Linked DNA regions of Arabidopsis thaliana. The protein of the gene in region 1 interacts with the protein of each later gene in a biochemical or structural test. Each region holds a gene or a part of one and is shown on either strand. Other genes may lie near its edges. The genes, in order: CAB2 and CAO.

The links.
Region 2: the proteins of CAB2 (region 1) and CAO form a complex in vitro, tested with the Arabidopsis thaliana proteins (one study listed by BioGRID).

The regions. Positions count from the first base shown.
Region 1 is NC_003070.9:10,470,138-10,483,049, forward strand, and holds CAB2 (chlorophyll A/B-binding protein 2), read right to left. Parts: upstream 5,833-12,912; 5' UTR 5,756-5,832; coding exon 4,952-5,755; 3' UTR 4,519-4,951; downstream 1-4,518. Other genes in the region: CARB (carbamoyl phosphate synthetase B), read left to right, coding at 1-211, 316-1,839; CAB3 (chlorophyll A/B binding protein 3), read right to left, coding at 2,306-3,109; CAB1 (chlorophyll A/B binding protein 1), read left to right, coding at 7,934-8,737; NRPA2 (nuclear RNA polymerase A2), read right to left, coding at 9,185-9,607, 9,718-9,972, 10,134-10,346, 10,421-10,561, 10,669-10,794, 11,067-11,142, 11,240-11,343, 11,451-11,525 and 4 more.
Region 2 is NC_003071.7:19,464,969-19,478,484, forward strand, and holds CAO (chloroplast signal recognition particle component (CAO)), read left to right. Parts: upstream 1-7,604; 5' UTR 7,605-7,812; coding exon 7,813-8,934; 3' UTR 8,935-9,419; downstream 9,420-13,516. Other genes in the region: AT2G47440 (Tetratricopeptide repeat (TPR)-like superfamily protein), read left to right, coding at 4,944-5,003, 5,088-5,467, 5,552-6,692; MYB12 (myb domain protein 12), read left to right, coding at 11,470-11,602, 12,397-12,526, 13,422-13,516.

The DNA.
Region 1 (12,912 bases):
TCTAGGAGTTGTTCCATCTTACAAGAGAGTGGATACATGTGCTGCAGAGTTCGAAGCGCATACACCATACATGTACTCTTCATATGATGTTGAATGTGAATCAGCTCCAAACAACAAGAAGAAGGTTTTGATTTTGGGTGGAGGGCCAAACCGCATTGGTCAAGGGATTGAATTTGATTACTGTTGTTGCCACACATCTTTCGCCTTACAGGTATGTCTTTAGACAATCTAAGCGTCTCTCCCAAAAGCCAGTAAACATTGTTTCAACTTTTTTATGCTAAACTTACTTATCTACTTTTTTTAATTTATTTGCAGGATGCTGGATATGAGACCATAATGTTGAACTCAAATCCTGAAACAGTATCCACAGATTATGATACAAGCGATAGGCTCTATTTTGAACCTCTCACAATCGAGGATGTTCTCAATGTTATCGACCTTGAGAAACCTGATGGCATAATAGTGCAATTTGGTGGTCAAACTCCTCTGAAACTTGCTCTGCCGATCAAACATTATTTGGATAAGCACATGCCCATGAGCTTGAGCGGAGCGGGACCTGTTCGCATCTGGGGTACATCACCTGACTCCATTGACGCTGCTGAAGACAGAGAGAGGTTCAATGCAATTCTCGACGAGCTGAAGATTGAGCAGCCCAAGGGAGGCATTGCAAAGAGCGAAGCTGATGCATTAGCCATAGCAAAGGAGGTAGGGTACCCAGTTGTGGTAAGACCTTCTTATGTTCTAGGTGGACGAGCAATGGAGATCGTTTATGATGACAGTAGACTAATAACCTATTTGGAAAATGCGGTACAAGTTGACCCAGAGAGACCTGTTTTGGTAGATAAATATCTTTCTGATGCCATTGAGATCGACGTTGATACCCTTACTGATTCCTATGGAAATGTGGTGATTGGTGGAATAATGGAGCATATCGAACAAGCTGGTGTGCATTCTGGTGACTCAGCTTGTATGCTTCCAACACAAACCATCCCAGCTTCTTGTTTGCAAACTATTCGAACATGGACCACTAAGCTGGCGAAGAAGCTAAATGTATGTGGGCTGATGAACTGTCAGTACGCAATCACAACATCTGGGGATGTTTTTTTGCTGGAAGCCAATCCCCGAGCTTCCCGTACTGTCCCTTTTGTGTCAAAAGCCATTGGACACCCTCTTGCCAAGTATGCAGCGCTGGTCATGTCGGGCAAATCTCTCAAAGATCTTAACTTTGAAAAAGAAGTTATCCCTAAACATGTCTCTGTGAAAGAAGCTGTTTTCCCGTTTGAGAAGTTCCAAGGATGCGATGTGATACTCGGGCCAGAGATGAGAAGCACAGGAGAAGTGATGAGCATCAGTTCTGAATTCTCAAGTGCGTTTGCAATGGCTCAGATCGCTGCAGGTCAAAAGCTACCTCTATCAGGCACAGTCTTCCTCAGCTTAAACGATATGACCAAACCGCACCTGGAGAAAATCGCGGTGTCCTTCCTCGAGCTTGGGTTCAAAATAGTTGCCACCTCGGGAACAGCTCATTTCCTGGAACTGAAAGGCATTCCAGTGGAGAGAGTGTTGAAGTTGCATGAAGGAAGACCACATGCTGCTGATATGGTGGCGAATGGTCAGATCCATTTGATGTTGATCACAAGCTCGGGTGATGCTCTTGATCAGAAAGATGGGAGACAGCTCAGACAAATGGCTCTAGCATACAAGGTACCTGTTATAACCACTGTTGCTGGTGCATTGGCCACTGCTGAGGGAATCAAGAGCTTGAAGTCAAGTGCCATTAAAATGACCGCTCTTCAGGACTTCTTTGAGGTAAAGAATGTATCTTCTTTGCTCGTCTGAGTTAGTTTTTTTGTTGTGTGTTGATCGTTTGTGTGGAACTTTTTTACGATAAATTTTAACGGATTTTGTTACCCATAAGCATTTCTATGAATAATCTTCGAAAATGCAGCAAACTTGTGATTTATCAATCGGCTTTGTTCCTTTAATTCAGATATACACAAGCCTTTGATTGTATCAGGTCATGTAACGCTTGGCTTAAACTCGAGTTATGTTCTATAAGATTGTGCAATTGTAGAAACAGCCTCTTCATTTGAGCGAACCCAAGAACATTCCATTTGAATTTTAGTTAATACGAGACTAGTATGAGAGAAAATTGAGTTTGATTAATGACAAATCATACAAAGTCTTGCAAATTTACATCTGAAAGTCTCAAACCATCACATACAACCTTCTCTTTCTCCTCATGTCTCTCACTCGAATTCAAAAGACTGAAAGAAAAGCAAAATACAAACTGATAAAACTTGGCTCACTTTCCGGGAACAAAGTTGGTTGCGAAGGCCCATGCGTTGTTGTTGACTGGATCGGCCAAATGGTCAGCAAGGTTCTCTATCGGTCCCTTACCAGTGACAATGGCTTGAACGAAGAATCCAAACATAGAGAACATAGCCAATCTTCCGTTCTTGAGCTCCTTCACCTTCAACTCCGCGAAAGCCTCTGGGTCGGTAGCAAGACCCAATGGGTCGAAGCTGCCACCGGGGTAAAGCAAGTCCTCGGCCTCTCCCAACGGCCCATTTCCTGCGACTCTGTAGCCTTCAACAGCTCCCATCAAGATAACTTGAGTGGCCCAAATGGCCAAAATGCTCTGAGCGTGGACCAAGCTAGGGTTTCCCAAGTAATCGAGTCCTCCATCGCTAAAGATCTGTGAACCGGCCTTGAACCAAACCGCCTCTCCGAACTTGACTCCGTTCCTAGCCAAAAGCTCAGGGAAGACGCAGCCTAGGGCTCCGAGCATAGCCCACCTGCTGTGGATAACTTCTAGCTCACGGTTCCTTGCGAATGTCTCGGGATCAGCTGAAAGTCCAGCGGTGTCCCATCCGTAGTCTCCGGGGAACTCTCCGGTAAGGTAGCTCGGTGACTCGCCAGAGAATGGACCCAAGTACTTGACTCGGTCGGATCCGTACCATGGGCTGCCTGATGGACCCTTTGGCTTGGCAACAGTCTTCCTCATTGTCACACGGCCGCTTCCGAGGACTTCAGATGCCGCGGGGGAAAGGTTCACAGCCTTTCCGGCGAAGGCAGGGGAGGAGAGAGCCATTGTGGAGGCGGCCATTGAAACTTTTTGTGTTTTTTTTTTTTTTTGGTGACTAACTTGTGAGTGAGAGTGATTGAAAATGGTTAGGTAGGGTTGGATTATATAGGAAAATTGCGAGTAACGTTTGTTATCTATGAAGTAATCTATATCTCTTTACTCATTGGATTTTTGAGATTTTGGTTTTAACGTTTACTATTCTTATGTGGCAGTCTCTAGTCCACTAGCTTTTGCTATGATTTTTTCATTGCAGCCAAAGCATTTCGAGACCACATGTTGCAAGTCTTTTGGAAGCAGCTTAATAGTTCTGAATAGAGATAACTTATTTGTGTGATCTTTCCTTTAAATAAAAGTAAAGATAGTGTGATATTGATGACCGAAACATCATAGAGAGTAACATTAGAAGTCCAACATCACTACCAATTTACAATAACATTGATTCCATTGTCAGTTTATCCACTAACCTGATAAATCTCATGAATAATGTAATTAATTTAACCTTGAAACTCAGTTGTTTTTGCTTTTAAATCAAAATGCAAAGACTCAAAAACACTGATTATTTGCATATTTTGCAGAAACATAAAAACTATCCAATTGATTGTTCAAACACTGAAAAACTATCATCTGGTATGTTCAACATCATTGGTTTAGACAATATGTAGCTTGTAAATTTTTAATCATGATTCTAGTAATCTGTTTTGTAAACTTGAACAACCTTTTAAAATCTAAAGTAACTCATTCTATCTTTCTAATTCATCATAAAATTCAAAATTTGTAGAGATGAAAAACCACAACAGAAAACATTTTGTTAGAGGTTTAATTTGCAACAAACTATTCCTCAATCACTTTGATAGAAACTCTTTAAGCTATCATTCGTAGTTTACTGATTTTTTCATCACCCTAAATAATTTCGACAGTAAAAGTTTTTTACAAAACACAATTTTATTTTTACAATCACTAATTGCCCTCACACATGAATTCACCCACTCTTTGGAACGCAATTTCTAAGCTTTGGGGTGAAAATGAATAAACCTAGCTATATTCATGTTCTCCTGTTCTATTCTCTTGTTCTTTCGATACCACACACCAATGACACAGGCGCTAGCTCTTCTATGCTCCAAACATATATGTTATCATGTGTTCACCAATTATAGCTAGTGTGACAAGCGAACCTGGTCCACAGAGGATGTCACGGAAGGCAATCTCTCGCACGACAATGGATTTTAACTAATATGTAAGATATATGATCAGTCCATTCAATGCGTGGATGTGATTTTAATATGGTATCAGAGCAATGTGATATATTGTTATCCAGATATCGTATGAGCCAATGTTACGAGCTTCAGAATCAACCAAACACGGAAGAAACTACTTCATTATCTATTCTCTAATTCTCTCAATCAGAAGAAAAAAAACGATTGCAATTTCTTCTTCAATGCGATCATATTTTGTGAAGAGACGATATACAAGTTAAATCAAGGGAATATAAAAAACTTATATAAAAGACTCTTTCGTGTTGTTCAAGCTAACATCCGAGAATCACATTTTCTCTTGATTTGAAAAGAACATAATCTTTGTACCCATTGCCTTAATATGTTCAATCACGTTGCTCGATTGTAGAAATAGCCTCTACAACGGAGTGAACCCAAGAACTGAAAATCCAATTCAATTATAGTTCTACGAAACATATTTAGAGAACAATGAGTTATTTGATTAATGACAAATCATACAAAGTCTTTGCAAATTTACATCTGAAAGTCTCTACCATCCACCACAAACACAAACCTACTCTTTCTCCTCCTGTCTCTCACTCGAATTCAAAAGATTGAAAGAAAAGTAAATTACAAACAGATAGAACTTGGCTCACTTTCCGGGAACAAAGTTGGTGGCAAAGGCCCAAGCGTTGTTGTTGACTGGATCGGCCAAATGGTCAGCAAGGTTCTCTATCGGTCCCTTACCAGTGACGATGGCTTGAACGAAGAATCCAAACATAGAGAACATAGCCAATCTTCCGTTCTTGAGCTCCTTTACCTTCAACTCAGCGAAGGCCTCTGGGTCGGTAGCCAAACCCAATGGGTCGAAACTGCCACCGGGGTAAAGCAAGTCCTCGGCCTCTCCCAATGGCCCATTTCCTGCGACTCTGTAACCTTCAACGGCTCCCATCAAAATAACTTGTGTGGCCCAAATGGCCAAAATGCTCTGAGCGTGAACCAAGCTAGGGTTTCCCAAGTAATCGAGCCCTCCATCGCTGAAGATCTGTGAACCAGCCTTGAACCAAACTGCCTCTCCAAACTTGACTCCGTTCCTGGCCAAAAGCTCAGGGAAGACGCAGCCTAGGGCTCCGAGCATGGCCCACCTGCTGTGGATAACTTCTAGCTCACGGTTCCTTGCGAATGTCTCGGGGTCAGCGGATAGACCAGCTGTGTCCCATCCGTAGTCTCCAGGGAACTCTCCGGTAAGGTAGCTGGGTGACTCGCCAGAGAATGGACCCAAGTACTTGACTCGGTCGGATCCGTACCATGGGCTGCCTGATGGACCCTTTGGCTTGGCAACAGTCTTCCTCATTGTCACACGGCCGCTTCCAAGGACTTCTGATGCCGCAGGGGAAAGGTTCACAGCCTTTCCGGCGAAAGCAGGGGAGGAGAGAGCCATTGTTGAGGCGGCCATTGAAACTTTTTTGTGTTTTTTTTTTTTTTATGACTAACTTGTGAGTGAGAGTGATTAAAACTGGTTCGATAGTGTTGGATTATATAGGGATATTGTAACGTTTGTTATATCTGAAGTAATCTTTATCTGTTCATTCATTGGATTTTAAGATTTTTGTTTTATCGTTTAGTAGTCTTACGTGGCAATCTCTAGTCCACCAGCATTTGTTTTGATTTTTTCATTGCAGCCAAGCGTTTTGTGACCACAAGTTATGAGCCACTGAATACTTCAACGGTTACACTTACTTACACCCTCGTGACAAGAATGATTTTTGCTACAACCCAATAACTAAAACTTAAAGTATAACATTTTGAAAATATAGATTCTGATGATCGAAACATTAATATAAAGTAACATTATAAAAAGCATTTACCCACACATAAATATCAATATTTTCAATGGTAATTAGTTCATCATCACTACCAGTTTAATTTCAATTATGAATCGATTTCATCGTCACTTTATCCAATAACCAAAATAATCTCATGAATTATGTGATATCACCTTAAAACTTTGACGTTTTACTCTTTATCGAAGAAACACAACGATTAATGAAACACTGTTTTAACTTATCGACCATTTCTAAGAACATGAAAGAACTATATTAATTCATATGGCATGTTCATCATCATGGGTTTAGACTTTAGAGAACATATAGCTACTTTTTTTCTTATCATGATTCAAGTTATCTTTATTGTAAACTTCAACAACCTTTTGAACAAACTTATTTATTCGCTTTTTCCGAATTCATCAACAAATTACTCCTCAATCACACTCCTATAGAAAACGGTTTAAGCTATCATTACATGTCTAGTTGGTTTTACTCAGCCCTAGAAGTGTTGTTTATTGCATCACTTTCCACGAAGCACAATTTTTCTTTTTTACAATCACTAGACCTCACAGGCTCACACATATGCTTTAGAGCACATTCTAAACTTTGAACTATAAAAGCTGTTAACACTAATACACTATGCGTTCTTTTTTGCTCCAAACACTTTTGATCCATTATTAGGAGACACTCCACTTAGAAAGATTTTCTAATCCTTTGGTCAACTAGGAAGTTCAAGGTTTTTCTAAACAGAAATTCATTTCACAAGTAATTTAATTTATAAGGAAATGAATAGAGAAATCAAATCATTGAAGAACTACAAAATATAGATTCAAGGTCAGGTCTAAGAAAATATTCCTGAAGCTCAAAAAAGAGTTTTCCTCTCACATTATAGAATTGGCCTTTACTTCAACATTTTCCCACCTATTCCACATTTGGTCAGAACATTTTTAATTACTTGTGGATCAATTTCCGGTTGAAATGGGTTTGGTGAATATCCGGTTCAGTTATATGGTGGCCGTTGGAATTGGCTTATTAGTTGTGGCCGTTGTTGAAGCCGTTGGTATTGGTAAGGGAGAAGCAGACTTGTGGCTATGAGTCTATGACCATGACTCGTGATTATGGAGCTGTCTTATGACCCTGACCATCACCTTGATCTGGTGGATTCCAATGTTTTCTTCTTCTTCTAATAAAATATTATGGTCAATACAGGTGCTAATTAAGATGGTAATAATTTCTTATGTTTCTGTGGTAAAGTTTGATTCAATTCCGTAGTTTTAGATAATCTTATTTCCATACATAAATTTTATAGTTTTATCTACTTTGTTCTTATGTTTTATCTCTAGCCAAGAGTTATTATTATTATCAGAAGAAGAAAAAAAAAAGAAGCATATATACAAAAGGTTTAATAAAATGTATTATACAAGGCAATTATCCAAATTTTTTTTGTTTTGGTTTACATTGATGCTCTCAGGATTTCATAAGGATAGAGAGATCTATTCGTATACGTGTCACGTCATGAGTGGGTGTTTCGCCAATCCATGAAACGCACCTAGATATCTAAAACACATATCAATTGCGAATCTGCGAAGTGCGAGCCATTAACCACGTAAGCAAACAAACAATCTAAACCCCAAAAAAAATCTATGACTAGCCAATAGCAACCTCAGAGATTGATATTTCAAGATAAGACAGTATTTAGATTTCTGTATTATATATAGCGAAAATCGCATCAATACCAAACCACCCATTTCTTGGCTTACAACAACAAATCTTAAACGTTTTACTTTGTGCTGCACTACTCAACCTCAATGGCCGCCTCAACAATGGCTCTCTCCTCCCCTGCCTTCGCCGGTAAGGCCGTCAAGCTTTCCCCCGCGGCATCTGAAGTCCTTGGAAGCGGCCGTGTGACAATGAGGAAGACTGTTGCCAAGCCAAAGGGCCCATCAGGCAGCCCATGGTACGGATCTGACCGTGTCAAGTACTTGGGTCCATTCTCTGGCGAATCACCGAGCTACCTTACCGGAGAGTTCCCCGGAGACTACGGATGGGACACCGCCGGACTTTCAGCTGACCCCGAGACATTCGCAAGGAACCGTGAACTAGAAGTTATCCACAGCAGGTGGGCCATGCTCGGAGCCCTAGGCTGCGTCTTCCCTGAGCTTTTGGCTAGAAACGGAGTCAAGTTCGGAGAGGCGGTTTGGTTCAAGGCCGGTTCACAGATCTTCAGCGATGGAGGGCTCGATTACTTGGGAAACCCTAGCTTGGTTCACGCTCAGAGCATTTTGGCCATTTGGGCCACACAAGTTATTTTGATGGGAGCCGTTGAAGGCTACAGAGTCGCAGGAAATGGGCCATTGGGAGAGGCCGAGGACTTGCTTTACCCCGGTGGCAGCTTCGACCCATTGGGTTTGGCTACCGACCCAGAGGCATTCGCTGAGTTGAAGGTGAAGGAGCTCAAGAACGGAAGATTGGCTATGTTCTCTATGTTTGGATTCTTCGTTCAAGCCATCGTCACTGGTAAGGGACCGATAGAGAACCTTGCTGACCATTTGGCCGATCCAGTTAACAACAACGCATGGGCCTTCGCCACCAACTTTGTTCCCGGAAAGTGAGCCAAGTTTTATCTGTATTTTGCTTCAGTCTTTGCTTCGTGAGTGTGAGAGGAGAAAGAGAGCTTGTTTAGATGTAAAATTTGCAAGACTTTGTATTTTTTTCATTAATCAAATAACTCGTTTTTCTCTCAAATTATCTGGCAATTACCAAATTGGATTCGTTTTATGTCCTTCGGATCACTCAATTGCAGAGTTTATTACCACAATTGAACAACTTATACATGTCAAAGTTAAGTTAATGGTATTGGAGAATCAAAAATTCATTGATTTTATCCGTACAAATCAAACACATTTGTTTAAAAATTCACTTTGACCAAAAATAGATGACGTTTTCCACTAGAAAATATACTAACAAAGCAAAACCAAAAACTGATGAATAATATATTCTTCTACACACTAGTACATTGTAAAGATCTGGTTATTTTTTTCTTCCTCTGGTGTAAAATCTTAATCAGTTACTCCTTCTCTATCGCTTAACTGAAGAGTCATCTTAATATTCATTGAAGCCAACTCTGCAGCCAAGTACCTGAACACATAGGGCATTGCAACTGTTTCCATGCCTTTACTTGTCTTGCAAGAATAGCAAGTTACCTTCTTTGGAGTTCTACCAGGAGGTAACTTTCCAATTTCTTGAATAAGCTTCTTCTGTTGAACGTTCACAACAGATGATGTGAGCAAGCTTCCACATAGCGAACACACATCTGCAATGTGGTGATCTGAAGATGTATGAAGCCTGTCGTGTAATAGATAGGAGGCTCCATGAGCAAGTAGTGAGTCTCGCTCCATTTCACCAAACCGAATCCCACCACCTCGTTTTCTTCCCTTTATTGGCTGATGAGTTAGCTGATCCACTTGTCCCGTAGATCTAACCTGTAAGCCAGAGTATTATGATTCAGATATAGCACGAAGATGAGACAAGTGCCAGTTGGAGACTATATGTCAGGATGATAAAAGAAATGAAGCCAGAAGGGTCGAAAAACCTGGAATTTGTCTGAGACCATGTGACGCAGTCTCTGGTAGTAAACAGGCCCCATAAATATCTCACACTTCAGTTCTACTCCTAAATACCCACTATACAATGTCTCGGTACCATAATGGTTGAACCCTTTTTCCTTTAACATGGAGCCAAGATCATCAACAAGCAAACTGGACTTGCTCTCCTCTTCTCCGTTTGTTTTTTTTACTGCATCACGAAACGGTGTTGCATCTACAAACTTTCCATGCAAACTACCTCCCTGTAAAAGCCGAGGATATAAGCATTACATATACTTTACTTACCAGCTAAAAATAAAAATGGGAAGGGTTCAACAACACATGAAAAGAAGATGCACAGCATCAGCGTCGATGGAACCTAAGAATCAGACAAATTTCTAAGGAGAAAAATTCTGAAGGATACCTTAGCAGCAATAGATTCCAAAAGCATAGCAATTGTCATTCTTGATGGGAAAGCATGCGGGTTAATGATGAGATCTGGACGCATTCCAGTAACTCCATTAAATGGCATGTCAATATCAGGCCACAATTGAGAACAAACACCCTTTTGCCCATGTCTACTGCTGAACTTGTCACCGATTATGGGGTTTCTGGCATGCCGGAAACGAATATTCGCCTGCCAAGAAACTCGAAAATTAGATTTTAAGCCAATTGGAATCTGTCTATGCGATAGTTGGAGTTAAACCTCACCCTTTGAGGATGTTTCTTGCTTTTCATGTCGACAGAGACAAAGTCAACTATGACAGGGTCGGTACCTTTACGCTTCATGTGCCTTGTTTTGTTAGTTACCTCATCATAGATACTACAATACGGCTCATCTGGATATAATTTCTGCGTTAAACCCAACAAATTAGTGAGTTTCTATGAAAGTTGACAAGGAAACTAAAATTAAATATTTAACTTACAGTACATAGAGAGGATAGAAAGCAGTTATTTACCTGTCCAACAGATGGTAACCCATCAGCATCGATACGAAAATGTTCTGCTTTGTTAGTACTCCTCCTAAAACTTTTAGAACCACTATCAAATCGGCTATTCTGATCTGAAAGATCAATATTTTCTGTCTGGGAGATCATATAAAGACAAGGGTTAGGAAATTAAAAAAAAATAAGAAATTTGGGTGATTTGTATAATGATACTAAATCTCTCGCTGCAACTACAAGATTTTTTTATGGGGTTCATAAAGGAACAAGTGTAGGGGACATTGACCTAGGGGACATTGACCAGGATTATGATAAAGCTCCAGACCCAAAGGAACTTATTACATCAAGCTTAAGCACTATATTCAGCTAATCAGCAGGACTCTTAATAAAGAAATGAGAATGGGAACTCGAACCTGGTATATTTGCCCATGGCACATTCCCCGCTCCACAGATGATTTGTTCAAAATCATCGCGTCTTCCATATCAAATCTGTGAGACAGGTAGGTGGATAAAAGAACAAGAGAAGAAACATTAACGAAAAAAGCTTATCACTGACAAGATCTTGTACGCAAAAGCAGTTTCTTACCCTGTATGTGCGAGGACAGCAACAATTGCATTAGTCCCTGTAGGATTCTCATCAATACTGTAAGTGGTGTATGTTTTTGTGCGGACCACAGGGGATTGAGGAGTCTGTAGCATACAAAAAGAATTTAATAATGGGACCAAAAGAGACGAAATGATCAACTGAAAATTGTACCATGTACTTTCAGCTTTCTAAGAGTAAGATAGGAAATGACCTGCAGGTGGTAAATCTTCTGGTCGGCACGAAATTGGAGTGCTTGAGTAGAGTACGCCATGGTTTGTTTCGCCATCTGTATAACTGAAAATTTAAAAAACTTCCAGCAGCATAATCATAAAAAATTTGCATCGAATTTCTAGTAATACCTGACACTGATACATGTTACGGGGACTTTGGTTATGATCTGACCAAGGTGTAAGATTAGCAACCACACTTATCATCCCGGTTGGATGAATTTCCTCGTGAGTTGCTAGGGAAGAGTTATTCCTTCCTCCATTTCCACCATCAGGACAGCTTATTTCCATAAAAACCTGGTTTGGTAGAATCTTTTTCTTTTCATTTGATTGTATACCAGGAAAGGTGGATATGAAGATAATATTGATAGGATTTGCTACCTGTTCAAATGGTCCAATCAGTTCAATATTATCAGAAGGTATAGATATATTTTTAACAGGCCTAATGAATCTTGCGGGACATGATGCCAAATACAATCCAGGGTAAGATCCACCCATGCTTGTAGGTACGTATCCCACTTCGAGGTCTTCAGGAATCTGTAAAGAAGCATTCGCATATATAGTTATTTTCTAATGAAATAGGTTGCCGTCAACAAATACTGTTAAGAAGTAAATACGCCTTACCACTGAAGGAGCCTCCACTTTCAGTCTCCGTATATAAGAGACAACTTTCGTGACTAGGTTAGAAGATAGCGTGCCTACAACTTGACCATCTAAAAGAACATGGATGACTTTTGGTGGTCCAGCTCGTACTAGCTTTGGCAATGAAGGTACCATACCCGCCCCAGTAAGAACATCAACAACTGACTTTCTTATTTTCAGAAAATCTCTGATGTTTCCCTTGGAATCGAACTGAGAAGTGATTCCTGAAAACACAATGACCAATCAGAACACAATAAGCAAAGTTGTTACTGGAAAAAAGTGACATATTAAATGGTATTACGAGTGTACACAATCCCCACTGTGGTACAATATGACAAGAACTAAACATTTAAGCATATTAATCGCATCCACAAATAGAAACTATAGATAAATGGAGAAAAAGGGAAACGAAATAAAATATGCTCTAATATAACAATACTATTTGAAACTCCAGTCTATAATAAGTTACCTTGAGAAATATAACACACTCTAACCAAACGTGATTCTATCTAAATCTCTCTAATATTTTAAAGCTTAAATAAACTATGTAACTCCAACTTGGTCTAACCAAATGTCAAGATAACAGAATAATATTGCTGAATTCAAGATGTCGTACTGAATAGCACAAAATGATGTGTGAAGAAGAGAGGTAGAGAAACTCACGGCTAGTACGAGTCATATGATTCAGTAATCCACAAGGTGTTCCATCAGGAGTGTGAACAGGGCAAAGAAAACCCCAAGATCTACAAGATAACAATAAAAGAGGAAAAATGTGAAGACTACAATTTTGGGACAGCATCAGCA
Region 2 (13,516 bases), on another chromosome or scaffold:
CTATTTGGCCCAATACTTCTAAATTTGACCTTTTACTATCCATCAACTAATACAAAGTTAACCTTTACATTTGACCCCTATTTCGCACAACCAAAATATTTATAATGTGTTCATCATTCCATACTTTTCGAAATGGGTTTTAGGGAAATATTAACGTGTTTGGAATCATATTCGATCCAACAAGACTTTAGTCCCAATCTTTTTCTAGACACTCCTAAGTGGGGCTAATCTATGAGTGTACCATGTGAAATAAGTTTTTGACATACTCACAAATGTCCTACAAGCAACACATTGAGGACCATCCACTTATGTGATATACATGTGACTGTCTCTATTGTTGTATCCTTGTGCTTTTTATAAGTAATGTCCCACTATCAATATATAAAACACACTTCAATCAAACTCTAATTCTCTAAAACGCTAATCGTAACATGCCAAACACAGTGCATATTAGCGGCTGCTCCTATTAGATAAGATTCTGTGTCCTGTGAGAGAGGAAAAAAAAAAGCCCATGAAACTATAAACTACTGTCAAAGTCTGTGAATTCAGACTTTTATCACATGTTTTCCCAATTATTGTCATTCCCTTTTTATTTTTACTTTCAAGTCCAGAGTACAACCTTTGGATCGATTCTTGTCTCCATAACTAAAAAATAAATAATTTTGTTGATATTCCCATTCGAATTTCTTTAATATTTGTTTATTTATTTTCGTTCGTTTTTAATTGCATTATTCACAACTTTTCAGCAAAGCATTGCCAAGCTGGTGTCTGGCCCTCTTTTTCCGATGCTTTCTTTTAATTTCTTTTCTTAAAAATAAATTGATGACGATTTTAAATGACGACGAAACAAATTATCATTCGGTTTAAGATTTTTTTTCTTTTTTTGAATGAGGTTTGGTGAATTCATGTCTTCATTCTAATATAATCATTCAACGTCAGAGTCCGAATGTATTTTTTTATAATAATTCTAAATCAAATCTAACTACCTCGTTTTCATAAGCAACAACTATCTATTTCAAAAAATAAAATAAAAACGAATAAAACAAGGCATATATTGCTTAACGTATGGATCAAAAAGCTATACAATAACAGAGTAAAAAGAAGAAACTGAGAATTTAATATTATTAGTGTTTGAAAAATTAGGGATTTTTTTTGTGTGGAATAGCACATGGATAACTCATTCCCACGTGAAATCTAATCCGAGAACACGTGCCTTTCCGCAGAGGTCTCTCTGACTTTTTTTGATTAGTTTCAAGTTCCAGCAATTTCAAAATTCAAAGAGGTCTAAATTGTGTGAATTTGAGCAACTAGCTCGATGCTTGTTTTGATGCCCAACGTTAATATTTTTTTGGTTTCGACTAAACAACAAAATCATGACGTTTTTATTTGCTAATTACAATATTTATAATTATTCTATTTGACTTTTAATATCATTCCTTCGGACACTTATTTTGTTCTATCTAAAACCCATGTCTTGGGATATGGTTCCATTTGCCGAGCATTCTGCAGTCACCAGTCACCAGTCAGCACCACCCAAAATAAGATACTAATTTATTTATTTTTATTTTCTTATACGTCAACTAATTATTACTATATATATGTTGACTATGAGATACTTGGATATTACTTTTGTAAACTTTATCGTTTGAAATTATATGGTGTATTTTAGTCTAAGCGATTTTGTGGACTTAAACTCGTATTTATTAGAGGTTTTTTTTAATAAACTAAAGAAAAATAATAAGAGTATTTATCCAAGTATTATATTGAATGAAATCTTTTATATCTGAGATCGAAAAAATGTCCAATATAGTTTAGCTGTTTAAGATCATTTTGTATATTCGTCATTTTGTGCCTCCTCGGATACAAACATGCTTAAAGAATGGGGACCGTTAATTACGTTTAATCAAACCTAAAGCTATTTGAAAACTTAACTAAGGATGATAAAATGAAATGAGTATAGTAAAATATCTTCTCGATATATGTCATTATAATAACAGATAGATTCCCAGTGCTTTAAATTTACTCGAACCATCCTGGCAAAATCTGTGACCACTAGCTTTAAACCTAACGTCTTCATCAATGACAGTGTCTGATATATATGTATATGAGAATAAATTTATAATTTCTCCCCTGTACGTTAACGTTGTGTCTCAATGTAATTATAATTACTATTAGCTCACGTAATGAGTGCAGGATTAAGATTATTGAATTCGAAATGAATATATTTGGACTCACCCATATAACATATATATATATACAGGTCCAAATAAATGCGGGAGGAAAATTGTACCTGTAAAATAACCAATTAATCATATTTTTCTTTCTTTCTTGTTGTTGGATTATAGTGATTTTCTTATCTAGGAAAATAGAGTTCCCAATTATAAGGGCTAACTGTCCCTTGACAGAAAAAAAGAATCCTATGAGAAGAAAATTGAATGATATTTGCATCTATCTATAATCGTTTCATTTGATTTTACTATTAGCAACAAATTTATTTGATTTAATACAAACTTCAAAGGAAGTCGAGGCAGAACCAGAACATGTGTTTTTTCCACTTATGCATTTATTTGTTTATGATGAGCCTGTCCTTTTTGTTTTTGCCCTCTTCTTATTTTATGTACCACAAACTCCATCAACGCGATATATCACGGGTATTCTTTTTTTCCATTGTTTTATACAAACTATTGTAACTAGCATTATATATATAAAAAAGGACTTTAATTTTGTAGTTTTTATACGTAACGACTGTTCATATCATTGACTTTATACCTTTATACGAAACCTTTTTCACGTATAGAAAATTATATCTAAGTTTTTATTATAAATGTTTTTGTTATTGTTAACCTACTTTAACAAGAAGAAGAAGAAAAAAAAATAGGAAAGGTTTTGTTGTAAGAAATTGTATTAAAAAATAACATATTTACAACACGATGTGCTGTTATAAAAGCAAACTTATGAGTCCGAATGTTTTTGATCTGATTTAAAATACCAAAAACTAAAAAAGAAAAGAAAACACACAATGACTTTAATATGTAAAATACAAACAAATGTTGCAAAAGAAATTAAGAGAGTTTGGTAATGCCAAATAGGCAAAAGAATAATTTATGTGTGGCAAGCAATGAACAAAGCTGAGCTGTACATGTACCACACCTTTCATTCATTGGTTACCATCTAACTGAAAGTGACACGTGTCTTATAATCAACAAGGCTTTTCTGACGTGGCAGTGCATTTAATTATTTGATTTGACAAGTTTAGGCTATCGTTGTCAAACAAATTAACTTAATTGTATCAAAATTGCTCGCACAGTACGTAATTCTATTTTAAGTTTAAAATCAACGGAGACACTAGTGTCCTATTTAATTATCTCCAAGTAAAGAAAAGAAAAAATAAATATTTGTGCTTAGTTGATTAAAAATTAAAAAGCACGATTCTTGTCTTGAGCTCCTTACAGCTTACAAGATAATTAAGAACCAAATCACTTTTTTTGGTTAAAACAAATCATAATGTTAGAGGCTAGAGATACTTATGATGTTACCATGCACTTTCCCCTTAATAACTAGCTCACTTAATTACAGTAATACCATACAGTAATATCTACTTGATGTGCCTATTGAGTCATCGATCCAATGAACTTATTCACTGCTTCAATTTTATGAAATATCATTATTTTAACGTAAACATCATTACTAGTGTTTTTATCATCAAATTACCGATTTAGTGTAAGTAAATCGAATCAGTTTTTAAATACTGTTGGACACATATATACATAGACATGCCAATTACTCAAGTATCATGTTGGTTTGCATATACTCTAGTTTTAATCAGGGTTTATATTATTTCAATTTAAGTAAACGCATGCTAAATGATAGATCATGAAATAGAATTAGGGTATCCATTGTTTAATGAAATGAATCGTTGAACTGGTATAACATGCAAAAAGATAATGTATCCACTATGTAAGCATTATAAGGTGCCGCTATAACAAAAATATCCACATGGTCAAGACTGAAACGTCGCATTATCAAACAATATTACATGCTCAATTGTTAAATTTTCTAGCCAAATTAATAATATCGTCATGGAGGAAAAAAAATAGAGTTGAATAATTGGCAATGATCATAATGGATATGGGTTTCTCAAAAACGCAATCATATATCGTGCGACAAGGTTACAGTAATATAGATATCATGCTTATTCCAAAACGACGACTAAAACGTAAAAGATTACAGAACTAGTAAACGAGTATATAATGTTAGGGAATGTTCTTTAATTTATAATCTAGCTAGTATAAATCACATATCCTATTTCATATGCGAGATATGAACAACAAAGTAGTATACTTAATTGAATCAATAATAATCCAAATTAAATTTATATGGTTTAGATCATAGAGAACCTAAATATCTAAAACTAACAAAGTCTAAACCACCTCGATTAATTGGGAATAGGATGATAATATAAAGTCTAGATTTTGTTTTAGTTCAAAAATCGAAACAAAATCTTACTGTAATTAACTTACTACGTTCCCTTACTGAAGATTGATCACCACACGGTAAAAAAAACACCGTTAAAAGGTTAAACCAAAAATATTGCTAAGAAGACATTATTTGGTTAGTTGAATGAAAAATTAGGGAATGGGAAGTGTGAAACCTACCTAAAATATGGCTATGTAGATGATATTCATTGAAGAGAGAGAGAATATAGAAGTGTAAAAAGAGAAAATGGTGCCAGCTATGAATTAGAAGGATCAAAGCTTTCTCTGAAGCTGTCATCTATCTCTCTCTTTCCTTATAGTGCTCTGTTTCTCTCCACATTCACACACTCTCCCTCTCTCTCTCCATTATTAAATCACTTGTTGTTGTCTTTCTTTTTTCAAACCTTGGAAGCAAGGAATTCTTTTTTGATGATTTAATCGAAAGCTTCTTCCTCCAAACAAACATCAATGGCGGTTTATCCTAACGTTAATGGCGATAAGAAGCACTGGTGGTTCACTCACAGAAAGGTATAAGCGATCTCTAACCTGGAAATACAGTTCTTGATTCAAAGATCATCATCAATCATGTTAACTTTTTTTGGGTTTTCTCAGCTTGTTGATAAGTATATAAAGGATGCAACAACTTTAATGGCAAGTGAGGAGGCAAACGACGTCGCTTCAGCTCTTCATTTACTAGACGCAGCCTTATCTATCTCCCCGCGTTTGGAAACTGCGTTAGAGCTCAAGGCTAGATCTCTCCTCTTCCTCCGTCGTTTCAAGGATGTCGCCGATATGCTTCAGGATTATATCCCCAGTCTTAAACTCGACGACGAAGGATCCGCTTCTTCTCAAGGCTCTTCTTCCTCCGACGGTATCAACCTTCTCTCCGACGCCTCTTCCCCTGGCTCCTTTAAATGCTTCTCTGTTTCCGACTTGAAGAAGAAAGTCATGGCAGGCATTTGTAAAAAATGCGACAAAGAAGGGCAATGGAGGTAATATAACTTTTAACTCTCTTTTTTGTTTTACTTATTACTTTCAAGCAAAACGCAATCGTTGATTTTTAAACGCTGTTTCAGGTATGTGGTGTTGGGTCAAGCTTGTTGCCATCTAGGACTAATGGAGGATGCCATGGTTCTCCTACAAACCGGTAAACGCCTCGCCTCCGCCGAGTTCCGTCGCCGGAGTATTTGCTGGTCCGACGATAGCTTCCTTCTCCTCTCCGAATCCTCCTCTGCTTCTTCTCCACCACCCGAGAGCGAGAACTTCACCCATCTCCTCGCTCACATCAAGCTTCTTCTCCGTCGTCGCGCCGCTGCAATCGCCGCTCTCGACGCTGGACTGTTCTCCGAGTCGATCCGTCACTTCTCCAAGATCGTCGATGGCCGTCGCCCTGCGCCTCAAGGATTCCTCGCCGAATGCTACATGCATCGAGCCGCCGCTTATAGATCCGCCGGTAGAATCGCGGAAGCGATCGCCGATTGCAATAAAACCCTAGCTCTTGAACCCTCGTGTATCCAGGCGTTAGAAACCAGAGCCGCGCTTCTAGAAACGGTCAGGTGTTTTCCAGATTCGCTTCACGATCTAGAACACTTGAAGCTTCTCTACAACACCATTTTACGCGATCGGAAGCTTCCGGGTCCGGTGTGGAAGCGGCACAACGTGAAATACAGAGAGATTCCTGGGAAATTGTGCGTTTTGACAACGAAAACGCAGAAACTTAAGCAGAAAATCGCAAACGGAGAAACTGGGAATGTCGATTATTACGGCTTGATCGGAGTCAGACGCGGATGCACCAGATCGGAGCTCGATCGAGCTCATCTATTGCTATGTCTCAGATACAAACCCGATAGAGCCTCTTCTTTCATCGAACGGTGCGAGTTCACCGATCAAAACGACGTCGATTCGGTTAGAGATCGAGCCAAAATGTCGTCTCTGTTGCTTTACCGTTTGATTCAGAAAGGATACACCGCCGTGACAGCGATCATAGCCGAGGAGCAGAGGAAGAACGCCATTGCTCACGCTCAAAAGATTGAAGAACGCAAACCGGTTGAAAAATCCGGTTCTATTAAGAGAACCGGAAACGCTGAAACGAAACCGGTAAATTCCAATGCGTACCAAGGAGTATTCTGTAGAGATCTCGCTGCGGTTGGGAATCTACTAACCAGGGCTGGTTTCAACCATCCAATCCCGGTTAAATACGAAGCGCTCACCTGCTAAAAAATATTGAACCGAATTTTTTATCCTACCATGTCAGCCACTGGAAACGTCGTCGTTTCCGTAGATTCGTCTTCGGACAGAAAAACAAATCATTCAGCCGTCAAAAAAGAAAATAAAATAAGAAAATATATATACATTTGATGTATGAATACAAATGAAACAATGTATTTAGGTTTGGAAGATTATTCCAACTACAAGAAAATTTTGTCACTTTACTTTTATCTTCAATGTTCGTCTCCTTTGTTTCTTCTTCATCTTCATGTGCATATAAAACGACAGAAGCTTGATTTGCACGTAAATTAAAATACTAGTATCAAAACTTTTTTTTTCATTTTATTATCAAAATTATCTCTTAAGCTATTGAGCACTAATTTATTTTTTATTATTGAGTTCTCGAGATTTGCCTAGAAATAGTCGATGAGTCTGGCTCACGTCAGTAATATTCGGATGAGTCCTTATCTATAAAGTTTGGCTGCCATTTGATGGTATTGGGATGATTAATTTAATTAGGCAAATAAAATATAGATGGTGAAAACTAAATAAAAACTATTCACTTGCTGTATAATAATGTTAATACTCATATCATGTAAATCACTGAAGTGCAAATTCAAAAAAAAAAAAAAAAAAAAATGGTCTGCTTGCCATTTAAAGATGTTTAAAGATGGAGTAAGTATATATACACAAGTCGTAAAATCAAACACAAATAATATATTGACAAACTCATATATCATAATGTATACATACCAATTTAAATCCACAAGAAAATATCATATGAATGAGAAAACCAACCACATTTACAATTTTACTCATATTTATTTTATTGTTTTATATTTTTCTTTTCTTTTTGATGAGAATGTCTTAACACAATTATCTAGTATATAAAGATTTTTTCCAAAAAATAGAAGAACCTGTTGATTTTCTAAAAGTAGAAGAAAATAAGTGCAGTCCATAAAATAAAATCCTATAAAAATGTTAAAACTAGATTCTTTTTTAAAAAACTAAAATTTGCTGCAGACATCTAAAATTTTCGAAAATGATTGGGTGGCTAAGATTTCTTATCCACTAGAAAATCCAGTGAGTCCCGTTAACTCTCTTCTCTTCTCTAGTCTTGTCTTCTATTATGCAAAAGGTCTTCTTGGCCATGGATACTTGTGCTCTAGTAATCCATCAGTCTCTGTCTCGCATCAAACTTTCTCCTCCCAAATCTTCTTCTTCTTCTTCTTCTGCTTTCTCCCCTGAATCCTTACCGATCAGACGGATCGAGCTGTGTTTCCGAGGAGCTATATGTGCCGCCGTACAAAGAAACTACGAAGAAACGACCTCCTCCGTGGAAGAGGCAGAGGAAGATGATGAGTCATCATCATCGTACGGAGAAGTGAACAAGATCATTGGAAGCCGAACGGCGGGGGAAGGAGCCATGGAGTACCTTATCGAGTGGAAGGACGGCCATTCTCCGTCGTGGGTTCCATCGAGCTACATCGCAGCAGACGTAGTGTCGGAGTACGAGACACCCTGGTGGACGGCAGCTAGAAAAGCCGACGAGCAGGCCCTGTCACAGCTCCTGGAGGACCGAGACGTCGATGCCGTGGACGAAAACGGCCGGACGGCTCTGCTTTTCGTGGCAGGTCTGGGGTCGGACAAGTGCGTAAGGCTTCTGGCGGAGGCTGGAGCCGATCTCGACCACCGAGACATGAGGGGAGGCTTGACGGCGCTGCACATGGCGGCTGGTTACGTGAGGCCGGAGGTGGTGGAGGCGCTGGTGGAGCTGGGAGCTGATATTGAAGTGGAAGACGAGAGAGGGTTAACGGCGTTGGAACTAGCGAGGGAGATTCTGAAGACGACGCCGAAGGGGAATCCGATGCAGTTCGGGAGGAGAATTGGGTTAGAGAAAGTGATCAATGTCCTGGAAGGACAAGTGTTCGAGTACGCCGAGGTGGATGAGATCGTAGAGAAACGAGGGAAAGGCAAAGACGTTGAATATCTGGTCAGATGGAAGGACGGTGGAGATTGCGAGTGGGTGAAAGGTGTACACGTGGCGGAAGATGTGGCTAAGGACTACGAGGATGGGCTGGAGTACGCTGTAGCGGAGAGTGTGATCGGGAAGAGGGTGGGAGACGATGGGAAGACCATCGAGTATCTTGTCAAATGGACTGATATGTCTGATGCCACTTGGGAGCCTCAGGACAATGTCGACTCTACTCTTGTTCTACTCTACCAACAACAACAACCAATGAATGAATGATTGATTTTGATGATTACATTCTTCTCAATTTGCTTCTTTCTCATATGTGTTGGTTCATCTGACCGGTTCGGTTGGTACGTACCGGTACATTTTCATTTTCTTTTAAGATGTGATCTTGATGGTTTTTGGCCTTTTGGGGACACTATTTGATTTTATATCCATGCTTTGAATTTTGCTTCCCTTTTTGGGGAGATTCATGATGCTGGCTGACTTGCTCTTTATCGTCCCAGGTTTAGAGAATACATCGTCTTAGGCTTTTCTTTATCTCAAAACCCATTTACATTTAATTGGGCCTATATATTTCATATAGGAAGAGAGTACATGTAAACCCAATACACAACTTTTATTTATGGGTCCGTTTCTTGTAACATTTGTTGGTGATAAAAACAACTTCTGAAGAGTGATAATGTACAACTGCACTTTGCGATTAAGGAAATTATAGAAAGATACAAAGTCTGAATAAATGACTAGAAAATATGAATAAGTAGTATCCATTCTTCTCTAATTCAACATCATTTTTTTTTTTTTTTTTTTTTGACGATATTCGATGCATTGTGTCTATATGAGAGAAATTTTGGTTTGTCAGTTAATGGCTAGACTTTTATTATTATGAGCATCTAGATTTTCAGTGCATGTGATGTTACGTTGATGATGGACATAAGGAGACAAAAAGGACGGAGTTGATTTAGTACACATTTTCGTTTCTTTGTGAATACAACGATCGCCTATTTTTCGTTTGTAATTTTCCTCTTAATTCGAGAGGGGCCTCTAGTCATGTGTGTTACTTCTAGTTATAGTGACATGAACGGATGAGAAAAGTTTCTTTTTGTAAACAACATGCGTACGTAAATCAACCAAATATATTTAGTATAACAACCAAATTACTGTTGGACAACCAACCAAACAACAATTATGTAGATTATAGATTAGAGAAAACAAGGAACTAGGTCGATTAACCGCGACCACATTAGCCAAGTCCTCCAGTCGATTAATATAAATTGATGCCAAATATATTAGTTTTCACTGGGTTTTATATTATACTATCAGACCACAGAAGACATCACGTCACAGTTAACAACACTACATATTTCAGATTTTGTATGAAACGTAACTAGGTTTATATATGAGACCTTTTAACCAATTAAATGATAGTGATATGGTTTGTAACATTGTATTGTATGTATTTTAGTTGATGTGTGTGGTTGGTAAGGTATAAATTAGCTAGTGTTACGAAAAATGACTTCTTGCTTTTTCTTTCAAATTGAACGACGCTCTATTTCACTTAAATAAAACCACATTTAGTTATTTCAATGACAACATACTAAGTTTTTTCTTACATAAATTAAAAAGTAATTTTGGTTTCAGTCCAAATTTTTCTAGTTATAGGAAAGAAAATGAAAGAGTTGCTTTCAAAATATTGAATCCATTGTATTTAATTTTGAATATTGAATAGTATGTACTAAAGTCTTTTCTTTAGTAGACCAATCTAAATACGAACGAAAGTACCAAAACCATACGAAACGGCAAATAATGACATGTGGGGAACACGTAGTTAGATGAGCAGTAAATGGGAAACATATTTTGATGGTTGTCCTCATATTTTCGTGTATCGAGTTAGATAAGGAAACCTGTGAAAATTTATTTCTCAAAAGATTCCGTAAGATTCCGTCGAATATAATTGATATTTCAGTATTTTGGACTGGCAGCGAATATGGCAGACTATACAGATTGATCGTCTTCCGGCGTTGTTATAGACATTAACAAACTTTAACTACTCGTTTGCTTAATTAGGACCATCTGATGACTTTATTCTAAGTTCAAATTTAGATGACCTCTCTTTCTTGAACATATACTTGTTACATACTTAATTCATTGTGTTATTGCAATAAGTGAATTGTGTGGTTATCACTAACACGCTGACGTAAATTTACACGTGTTTATATGAACGCACACGTGTTTTGTAGCTCGAGCAAAAGACCATCTGGTCAACGGACTAGGAGGATCCGGCGTAAATCCTTTATATAATTTTTATCAAAATTATAAGAAGAACAAAAAATGTGCGATTACTATCTGATCTACGTATTCACGTGACAAACAACAATTAATTTCAATAAAGATCTACTAACTTTAGAGAAAAAATCTTATGTGTTAATAAAAAAGTAACGTCAATGATCTCGGCACACACTAGAATTAGTGTCTAAGAGAACCACGACGAACCTGCACGGACCGACCACGAGTCTCTCGACGGTGAATAAGCCACGACTTCAGTCTCCTTCTAAACCAACGTGGCGCTTCTTACACCACACACGTGTCATCATCTCCTTCTCCCTCGAACCCGCAAGCTCTTTTAATCCCTTTCAATTAATTAATTAACTATATATCACCTGCCCCTATATATATCTAAATCAGTCACTTTTTGCTTCTGTTGTCTGTCACTCAGTAACTTCTCTTTCTCACTTACACACTCTCTCTCTCTCTCTCCATTGCCTTGACTTTTGTGGTCAGTGGAATAAACACATATAACCGCCGGAGAAAATGGGAAGAGCGCCATGTTGCGAGAAGGTCGGTATCAAGAGAGGGCGGTGGACGGCGGAGGAGGACCAGATTCTCTCCAACTACATTCAATCCAACGGTGAAGGTTCTTGGAGATCTCTCCCCAAAAATGCCGGTAATAACATTTACACTTTTATTAACAAGATCATGCAACACAAACTTAATTTAATCTATAACAATGTATATATGAGAGAATAAGACATAGAGAAATAATCGTGGTTCTTGTCGTAATCTTCATGAAACATGGATTCTTAGTCAGTTTTTTTTTTTTGCTTTTGATAAAAGAATTAAGGATTGTTAGTAAGTTTTTTAAAAAATAAATTAAATTTTTAGGAAGGTTAGAAGTTTAACTGCAACCCTAATCTTTGTTTCCAATTTATTTCAGTTTTTGGGTTTTTCTTTTTTCGTGCGAATCACAGTCACGGTGGGTTGTTTAATGTAGATATATGTAAAATGCTGCCAAGTGCATGCTTTAAGAGGGTAGGTTATGTTATAGACTTATAGTATATGGACAAATGTTTAAAAGGAAATACAAACAGAAGCGTATTTATGTATTTTTGTCCGTTGTATATCATTTCAAGAATCAGATCAAAACCATATGACTAGTTTTGATTTGATTTCTAACCTCGCTTTTAATAGAAGGTTACTTAATGTAGTAGTTGAGAATTTTTTGTAGTTGTGATATATATTATATGCATAAGATATATGAATAAATACAATGATCAAAAAGCTAAGAATCTCGTGAGCAGTCACACATCAGACCCTAGTTAAATTAATAAATACCTGAAAACTTTATCAAAATTTATCTAACAAAATCTGCATAAACATATATTTTGACGTATGAATCTGCATCTAAATATGAAGTGTATTATTATATTGTTAATTGTTTTTATTTGTTTTTTGGAAAAGGATTAAAAAGGTGTGGAAAGAGCTGTAGATTGAGATGGATAAACTATCTAAGATCAGACCTCAAGCGTGGAAACATAACTCCAGAAGAAGAAGAACTCGTTGTTAAATTGCATTCCACTTTGGGAAACAGGTACTCTATTATTTTACTTTATTTTCCAAACTCTATTTTATTTATTATGTTTTTCATTTTTTCCCATTTATATTCGTTCAATTTGTTTTTATGCACTGTATCGTATAATAATGATATCATGTCGACCAAGTAAGTGGAGATTCGGTATTATAAGACGGCTTAATTACGATTATTCTCTCTCTTAAATACTATAAACTTTAGCGAAGCACATTTTTATGGTTGGAAAATTTAATTTAAAGTCGAAATGGTAAAATAAAAATACTATTTTATCGTCGAATGAGAAATAGTTATTTCGTTGTGGGTCTTCCTCTTAACCATTGGGGTGTTAGACTTTTTCTCTTTTAGTTGAGACAAACTAAATTGTACCTCATTTTTTTTACACTTCGTATATTACATAAGCATTAATAGGAACACAGTTGATATAACACATGTGCATCTGTACAACAACACTTCAAACAAAATACAGTCACATATGTATTGCAAGTTTTCAACATGAAAAACTAGTAAACATGAGAAAAAAAAAGCGAGGATCTGTTTATTTAAAATTTTAATTATTATTACTCAACGTTAAACAAGTATATGTGATTCATAGTAGTGTCCGCTAAAATAAATCCAATATTGGAAATCGGACAAGGAACTCAACGAGAGTAGTACGAATTAGTCATCGTCACTCATTACTGACATTGCTCGAGCGATGTCATGATTAGGTCAGCAGTCATATCAACATGGCAAATCAAATTTAGAACACTATTCTATTGATTCTCATTGGGCCACGAGGTTCTCTTATTCCCCGGAAAGATATTTAATTTTATCAAGGTTGTTCCAAATTGTGAATAGAGGATTAATATAATGCAATGAACAGAGGATTAATTATTGATTAATGCAATGCATGTAGGTGGTCACTAATCGCGGGTCATCTACCAGGGAGAACAGACAACGAAATAAAAAATTATTGGAACTCTCATCTCAGCCGTAAACTCCACAACTTCA